Linked DNA regions of Daphnia pulex. The protein of the gene in region 1 binds, or shares a complex with, the protein of each later gene. Links are inferred from orthologs where the notes say so. Each region holds a gene or a part of one and is shown in the gene's direction. Other genes may lie near its edges.

Region 1 (4,134 bases):
TCTTCAATCAAGAATTTATAATCTAGGGGAAATCCGCCATTCTCTACTGCAGCACTGAAGTCACACAAGTCTTCTTGATTGGAAAATAACTCAATTGACCAATTAATTTTTTGAACTGTTCTCGTAGTTGGAACAAAATCTGTGAAAATTATGGAAATTTATAAGTTTTATTAGATAAATCTTTCAATTCTCTAAGTGTGTTGATACCTTCTGATGGGAAGTAATGTTTCCACCCTTTATATGGACAAGATACTGGTGGGAAATGCTGATTTATACGATTCCTCTGCCTTGCTGGTGTCTCGCTGTCAGAAGACTGAATATTTTGGTTTGAAGGAGGATCTCTAATATCTTTATAAACATTTTTAGAATAAATCAGAAACAAATTAAAGTTTCTCATTACCGTTATTGTTGTCATTGTTTCTTGTTGATCCTCGGCCTCTTTGATATCCACGTCCTCTCCATCTATTAGACCTCCAGTTGTTATTGCCTCTACCACGAAACCCACCTCTTTCTTTACCTCTAGAATTATTTCCTGAATCTGCCATAGCTAAACAAACTTAACTTTTTGGGGTGAACATGGAATTAACTAGAACAAAAAAGACTGCAATAGCTATGATGTGGTTCAAAGTTTTGATTTTTCCAAGGATAAAAAACCGCCGCTAACATTGCAGACGACAGAAAGTGAAGCCCATTCTGAAGGATGGGTAAGATTCGATTCGACCTAGAAAACCCTAGTTGTGAATTGTTCATAATTGTAGTAAATTCAAGTAGTTTATAACCTCCACATAATTGCAAAAACAAATATTTTACATGAACTTTGTATTTTGTAATTGGAAGAATCACTAGCCATAATCCTCTCAGAAAATAAACACATTAATTATGTTTTTATCTAGTTTAAATTTGATTTTTTTTTAATAATAAAAAAAAAAATAAAACACTTACTCTCAATGAAAAATATATATTCAAGCAACAACAAAGAATTCTTCGTCTTATTTTATAGCAATATCAACATATTACGGAAAATTAATGCATCGGGACTCTCCGTATTCTCGTAACTTATTTAATCCAGGGAACTTTAAGAAAAATATCACCGTATTCAATATTCATTCTATGAAAATCCATCACGAATATCATGGTTAATCCATCAATTTAAAAATAAATTAGGGGGAGGAATATGTTAAAAGATGGGGCGAGGATCGCAAAAGACTAGCCTATATTATTTTTGAGTGGATATAATTTTATATTTTTCCCGATTTTTAATTGAAAATCCAAAATCGTATGCGGTTTGAAAATTCGAAAGGATTGATAAAATAGGATGTCATTCTTATTAATTAACTAAAAAATTCGTGATAAAAAAAAATCAAGACAATTAAATTTTGTGGGCGACAGAATTCTACAGCGAAATCGGTCAAGATTCGAGCACAGGACGGTCTATCTGAGGGTTTGTGCGGGTTTGTGTTTGTTATCGTTTCGTTGCTATGACCACGCCATGGATCGCGCGCTTGGACAGGAGTTAAACAGTCCGGTTTTCCGGAGGAGAGTTTCAATTGTAGATGCGATCTGTCAATTCCAGAACCGTCCCAAACTACCACCTTCAGCCATGGAGCAAGCGAAAAGTGAGACAGACAACGAAAACAACGCCGATTGGATTCTGGATTCATTGGTGGCCTACCTTCGTGGTCCCATTTGGAATACGCCAATTCTTAACTTCATAGAGCAGAAGTCCGTAGGTATGATAACATAACTAATATTATTATAGCGACATATTATAGGTTCATGTTCCTGTATGTATAGCTTCATAGCTTCAATGCTTTATAGGTATTTTTAATAGTCTGTTTCTGCGTCTGCTTGTTATTCTGCGTTCGACAACTTATTTAACAAGCAAAACTAGAATATACCATTTTTGAGTCACGAAAATTTTAATAATTTCTTATTCATAATTCATAAAGGTTTTACCCGAAATTTAAAATTTAAACATTGTGAAATTTGAAAGTATTTGAAGGTGATGGCGAACAGTACGAGACTGAGTACCTGGGAATCCATAAGGATTTCCGTAATCTGGTGAGATGTTGTACAAAGTCAAGTCACACCTTGTGACGCTTCTTCTATTGAGCGAGCCAGCAGCAAATTACATAACAGATTTGTACATAATTTCTGATTCATGCAAGGTGGATGTCATGCTCGGGGCTTACATGGATGATTTAAGCCTTCAGCCGGAACATTTAGAATCAGCCTTGAGTCAAATTCAGCCATCCGTTCGATCGGCGGCTTTACAGGTAATTTAACTATGGCTCATTTATTCTTCACACATTATATATTTCATTCATTTCACGCCACATTGATTTTAAACGTTGCATATGATCTGTTATAGCAATTACTAGAACCCGTGCAATCGGCTGGAGATTACGATCGCTTCAAAGTTCTGATGCGCTCTAAAAATGAGCAACTGCACAACGAAGCAGTGGAAATGCTTCGTCAGAAACGCAATCATCCCGACGACGGCCCGGCCATTGAAAATCGATCGTCTGTCGATGAGTTTTCCGAGGAAGACATCAACGAAGCCATTCGACAATCGTTGGCGGAACATGTGGCCGAACGAAATGCCCAAGTCCAAGAAAAGCGCGAAGGTAAAATGGTTTGGATCAAAGGACTTACAATACAATGGGAAACACATTCTAATTTTAAGTGAACGTCAAGTTGACCGAGCTCTGGCTGCTTCCGTTGCTGGACTTCTCAAGACAAATTTGAGTGTTGAAGATGAACAGAGCGTGACTACATTGCCGGATACCAATGAACCTCCGCCAACCAATCAAGTTGAATCTCCAGCCAAAGGTTTACTTATTCTAAAAGAATTACTTGTATTTAAAAAAAAATTAAATCGTTGGTCAATTTTTATTTAGTTGCAATGAGGATTCCTGATCCGGCAGAGGTGGAGCAACGTCGCGTGCAGTTGCGGGCTCAGCGTGACAAGATTCTCAGCCAGAAGCGGAAAGAACGAGAACTCCAGTTGGAGCAGCAAGAGCGGACGGACAGGGTGGCAGGAGAAAGTAGTAAACCGGGAATGTCTAGACCGAGATCTGGACGTGCCGCTCGAGCGGCCTTGGCCGGCGAGGCGTCTCCCGAGGTGGACGAGCGTACCATTCAATATCGACGGTTGCTCTTGCAGAAAATCAAAGAGGAGGTGGAAGGCGTTCCACCGAAATAAAATCTTGTTTTATATCTTCAAGATAAAACTTTTTCTTTAAATTTTATTTAAAATATTTATTGTAAAACATGTCTGCGTTATTATTTTAGCACGTCACATTTTCAAACATTTAAATTCAGAACTATGAAATACGGGATTTATTTAAACACCTTGCACATGTAGTAAGTCGAATTTTAATTACTAGATTAACACAGCGCGTGTATTGCATATACGGAAGAGCGATATCTGACCTGAATAAACGGCTTTTACTTTCTTTATTTTTACCGTAACAATTATAAAGCTATATACTACTGCATTTCAATTTTCAAGCAGAAACTGGCAAAGGATTGACTTTTTCGCCACCCAGGATAGCGAAAATGGATTCTTGATTGGCCTTTTGTCTGCGAAGCTCCGGGCGTATGGGGAAAGTCATGGCGAAACCAACCAGCAGCGCCATTGATAATAAACAGTTGCACACCATGGAGCCATAGGTTCCCAACAGCCAACCTCCCAGAAGTGTGAAGGTGATGCCAAAAACCTGGGCGGAGGCGTTCAACAACCCCGCCGAAGTGACTTCGGGTTCCGGATAAGTTAATTCGGCGCCAAATTCAAATCCCACGGGCAGATATCCCGTCATGAAAAAACTATACAGACAATTCAAACAATATTAAAAATTGCATGCTCTTTTAAACCATTATTCATTGATAAAAAGATATTGTATGAGAGCTAAACCTACCCAGCGATTCCTGCCGCAACAAAAGTGATGGGAATATATTCAAGTCGGAAAGTGAAAGTGTAAGTTACCATTCCAACTAGGGCAAAGAAGTATGTCACCAAAGTCGTTTCCCTAGAAAAAATTGTTGTAATTATCTAGCTTAAAATTACAGTATTTGCAGACGTCAATTAATCTCAGAATCTGTATATATAGTGGCACAAGCAACTAAACTTAC
Region 2 (3,843 bases), on another chromosome or scaffold:
AGTAAAGTTCCACAAAATGAAGATCTAACGAACTTGCTGGCCATAGTATTTTCCGAAAAATATCCAATAGTTTCATTTGCTTTTGCTCATCCATCAGATCATCAAGGTTTAGATTGTGAATTTTTAGTTTTATCTGACAAGTGGCAGGTTCTGTAACACATGATTTTTGAACGGTGAATTTGTTTCCTCAAAAGGATTCTATATGAGAACACCACAAACCTTCTTTAGGAAATATTTCAATAACAATTTCTTTTGCCGATGTTTCAAAAGTTAACAGATTGAATGCAACAACATCTAACTGTGAATGAAATTTGAAAAATTTTAAGTATTTGGTAAGTGAAAGCATTAAAAAACACAATGTGTATCATCAATTCAAATGAGTCATAAATATGTAAAGTTAAGTCTTAAGTGTATCCGTTATAGTGTATGGTAAAAATTAAAATAATTACCTTTAGAGATGCTAAATTATTTGGTGGTGTCCCATATAGAAAACCAAGTTTTAAATTTTGATTAAATACAAGGTTTATCCATTTTGGTAGGTCAGGCAAACCGTGCAGAGAAGCTGAATAGGAGAAGTATTCATCTGTAAAAAATGAAAAAAAGTTATGAAATTGTTCAAAAGGAAATATCTTATTTTCTAGTGTATTATATTTAACTTCAATTCTACAGAACATTTGCTACCTGAAGACTCCACGTCTGATAAATTGAATAACGAAGGTGACAACTGAATCACAAATACCTCGTCCGTTTGAACTTGGTATTGAGCATAGCAATATTTCGAAAAGAAAACTAAAAAAAGGGAGGTGGAGAGTGCAATATGCATTTTCCTACACTGCAAAAACAATGGATAAAAATATTCTTTGATTTTTGTCAACTAAGAAAATTCACTTCTCATTTACAGTGTTTTGTTGTTGTTGTTTTACACTAAAAAGCCAATGCTAAATATGGCGGTGCTGATCTAAACACTTAATCAGGCTTGACAGGCGATTTTTCCGAACAGGAACAAATAAGAAATAGGCCGTTCCCGCGGCCGTTCGTGAGTCGTGACTCCGATCATCCATAGACCCAAGTCGACGGATAAATTTTCCTGTCATGATTTTAATAATATTTAGAATCTATAACATAGTAAAGTTAACGATTTTACTGAAATTTATAGTTTTATACGTGTAATATTGCGTTTTAGAATATGTGTGAGGATTGAAGCAGAGCTCTGATTGAAGAAAGAAATTATTTAAGAAAACTAATTTCTTTATAAATTTTATTTCATAGCTATACAGAATGATATAATTTATCCAATCAATTTGGAAAATATCCAATTTTCAAATACGACGTTAACGTGTAATATAGGGTAGCACGACACAATTGTCTCATTTTTTGAATAGTAATAAAAAAGGAGACCATTTCCATGGTTACCAGGTCATAGGATTCATAACATTCATTTATGTGAGAAGTACAAATGTCGGCTTAAAAAACTGTTGTAGAACTATTTGGCTTTTTCAATGGTAAGTATTTTTCCCTCTGGATAAACATTCAACTTCTTATTTAGAACTGTCATAAATTTGAGTTGCTGACTTGCTGTTGATTGCCTTAAAAGCTTTTGCAAGAAGTCAGTGATAGAAAAACAAAATGAATTGTTATGGAAGCCTGACCTGCCTTGAAACTTGCTCTTCACATAACACAGGAATTTTTCTTCTTATACTGTAATTATTGTCATCCAAAGGGTTTGTTGGCTTTGCTGCGAAAGTTGCGCGCTTCTTCCGAACAAGAACTACGAATATTGCTGCTAGGACTTGATAATGCTGGTAAAACAACCCTTTTGAAGCATCTGGCCAACGAGGACGTAACCCACATTACGCCTACTCAAGGATTTAACATAAAATCCGTCCAATCATCGGGGTTTAAGCTCAACGTTTGGGATATTGGTGGACAAAGAAAAATTCGGCCATATTGGCGAAATTACTTTGAAAATACTGACGTGCTGGTAGGCCTATTGCATTTATGTCGTTCGACAAATCATTTTAAATTCGAAAATTAAAAAGATGTTTAACTAGGCCTATTATAAAGTTTGAGCTATGTTATTCAATTTATGTTGTCTTTACACAGATCTATGTGATAGACAGTTCCGATAGAAAGCGCTTCGATGAAACTGCCGAGGAATTGTCTGAACTTCTTAATGAAGAAAAACTAGAAGGAGGTAAACATTAAAATTCGTAGTAACGCTAGATTCATTAGTTAGTTGATTAATCTAGTTGTAGGCCTACAATATCAAACTTTTAGCTTAGAATGTATAAATTTAATATGTGTTTATGTTTCAGCTGTTTCAGCTTTTTTTTTTTAATCACGATGTAATCTCAATTGTTTTTAGTCCCCTTGTTAGTGTTCGCTAACAAACAAGATTTATTGGGTGCCGCGACGCCTTCGGAATTAGCTTTGGGCTTGGCTCTCCAGACAATTAAGGACAGAGGATGGCAGATCCAGGTAATATAACAAATCAGAAAGGCTTAAAGGTCATTCTTGTAATGAAAATCAGCAGAAATTTAATTTATTTTTCGTTGTACTTACATACAGGCCTGCTGCGCTTGTTCTGGTGAAGGCGTTCAGGTAGGTAGGAATTTGCTAAAGACACATACATATTTCCAAATCGTTAACTTTTTCACTCACGCACTATCCGTACGCGGAATGCACTATCTAGTTATGCGTTCGGTTTGTTATTTAGTAGATTAGATAAAAGTAGCAACATCATATTTGATCTTTTTTTTCCTTCGTAATTCGTAATAGTTTGAAAATAAAATAAAAATAGCACGCGTCCTCGTGATAGTTTTCTTTATCTTATTTATCCAAAATTCTTTTAATACAGGATGGAATGAACTGGATATGCCAAACGATTAAGAAAAAATGATTGCATTGTCTTTTCGTTAGAGATTGATGAATTTTCCAATCAGTTATGTTAATGAATGTTATTATTTGCCCTTCAATGTTCACCTTCCAACGATAATCGAAATTTGAACCCCGCCCGTCTCAATGTTTACTTTCGTAAAAATTGTTCTGCCACTGTCTGTCCGCAGTCCGCTTTATGAGCGAATCTTTTTAAAAATAAACTTTGAAAGAAAGACCTATTTCATTTACTCATATAAAAATCTGGAATTTTTTTATGCCTGCTTTTTTTCATTGCAAAAATAAAAAATTCTGGATTTGCATGATTCTTTGTTCTAAATTCAAGCAAGTTTGCAACATAGGAATAATCGCTCAATATGATGGTAAACAGAAAAAAGTGTTGTCTTGACGACGTTTAAATAACAAGAAATAACGTTCGCAGGAAATCATCTCGACGTTTATACTCGGGTAAAAAATAATTTGCAGTGGTTTGCACTTCGCTTTGGCCTAACTATTTTTCTATAATGGTACTGTTGTCAAGATTTGTTTCTATTGCATCAAAAATGACGACTTGGAGCAATAAAATACACTCTAAATGTAGAGGTGAAATATACCCTCGTTCAGATCAAAAGGTGAAACAAATTATTTTTTAAAAAATTATTGTCTGAAGTTATTCTTCTATATTCTTCCAATTAGCGACTCATCGTTCCTATTGATAAAGTCAAATGGTCTGTTTCATGGCCAGATTACGATCCACCTGCATATACATCAAAATCATTAAATGGACAACCTTGGGCTGATTTAGAAATAAGGTCTTTAACTGTGGGCTTTACAATTCTTTTGTACTGATCATAACTGTTCCTACAAATTAATGCAGTGAACAATTTTCTCCTAAATTTAATGAGGTAGAACATGATGAATATGTAGTTAGAAATAGAGTCAGCTACATGGGAGACTACCAGATCGCAA

The links.
Region 2: the proteins of cilia- and flagella-associated protein 36-like (region 1) and ADP-ribosylation factor-like protein 3 are in contact, whole or in part, in a crystal structure (PDB 4ZI3), measured with the Mus musculus proteins. The link is inferred for Daphnia pulex from reciprocal best matches to the Homo sapiens genes CFAP36 and ARL3. Residues at the interface, in NP_080016.1 of Mus musculus: Glu44, Glu45, Ser46, Lys47, Leu48, Thr51, Glu52, Lys58, Val61, Glu62, Leu65, Glu76, Phe79, Gln80, Cys83, Thr84, Ala88, Lys89, Leu97, Val100, Leu101, Ala103, Glu104, Asp105, Phe106, Thr107, Ile108; in NP_062692.1 of Mus musculus: Leu3, Leu4, Ile6, Leu7, Arg8, Lys9, Leu10, Lys11, Ser12, Arg19, Lys35, Glu40, Pro47, Thr48, Gln49, Gly50, Phe51, Asn52, Ile53, Lys54, Trp66, Ile74, Tyr77, Ser80, Tyr81.

The regions. Positions count from the first base shown.
Region 1 is NC_060027.1:5,081,273-5,085,406, reverse strand, and holds cilia- and flagella-associated protein 36-like, read left to right. Parts: upstream 1-1,453; 5' UTR 1,454-1,489; coding exon 1,490-1,730; intron 1,731-1,993; coding exon 1,994-2,061; intron 2,062-2,168; coding exon 2,169-2,276; intron 2,277-2,371; coding exon 2,372-2,627; intron 2,628-2,697; coding exon 2,698-2,832; intron 2,833-2,900; coding exon 2,901-3,205; 3' UTR 3,206-3,462; downstream 3,463-4,134. Other genes in the region: DNA helicase MCM8-like, read right to left, coding at 1-139, 208-348, 401-545; feline leukemia virus subgroup C receptor-related protein 2-like, read right to left, coding at 3,510-3,828, 3,921-4,031. UniProt on the Homo sapiens protein: May act as an effector for ARL3.
Region 2 is NC_060026.1:9,413,413-9,417,255, forward strand, and holds ADP-ribosylation factor-like protein 3, read left to right. Parts: upstream 1-1,422; 5' UTR 1,423-1,499; coding exon 1,500-1,502; intron 1,503-1,720; coding exon 1,721-1,981; intron 1,982-2,103; coding exon 2,104-2,194; intron 2,195-2,365; coding exon 2,366-2,478; intron 2,479-2,568; coding exon 2,569-2,601; intron 2,602-2,857; coding exon 2,858-2,899; 3' UTR 2,900-3,107; downstream 3,108-3,843. Other genes in the region: epsilon-sarcoglycan-like, read right to left, coding at 1-150, 220-298, 450-583, 682-823; ADP-ribose pyrophosphatase, mitochondrial-like, read left to right, coding at 3,438-3,506, 3,571-3,686, 3,752-3,843. UniProt on the Homo sapiens protein: Small GTP-binding protein which cycles between an inactive GDP-bound and an active GTP-bound form, and the rate of cycling is regulated by guanine nucleotide exchange factors (GEF) and GTPase-activating proteins (GAP).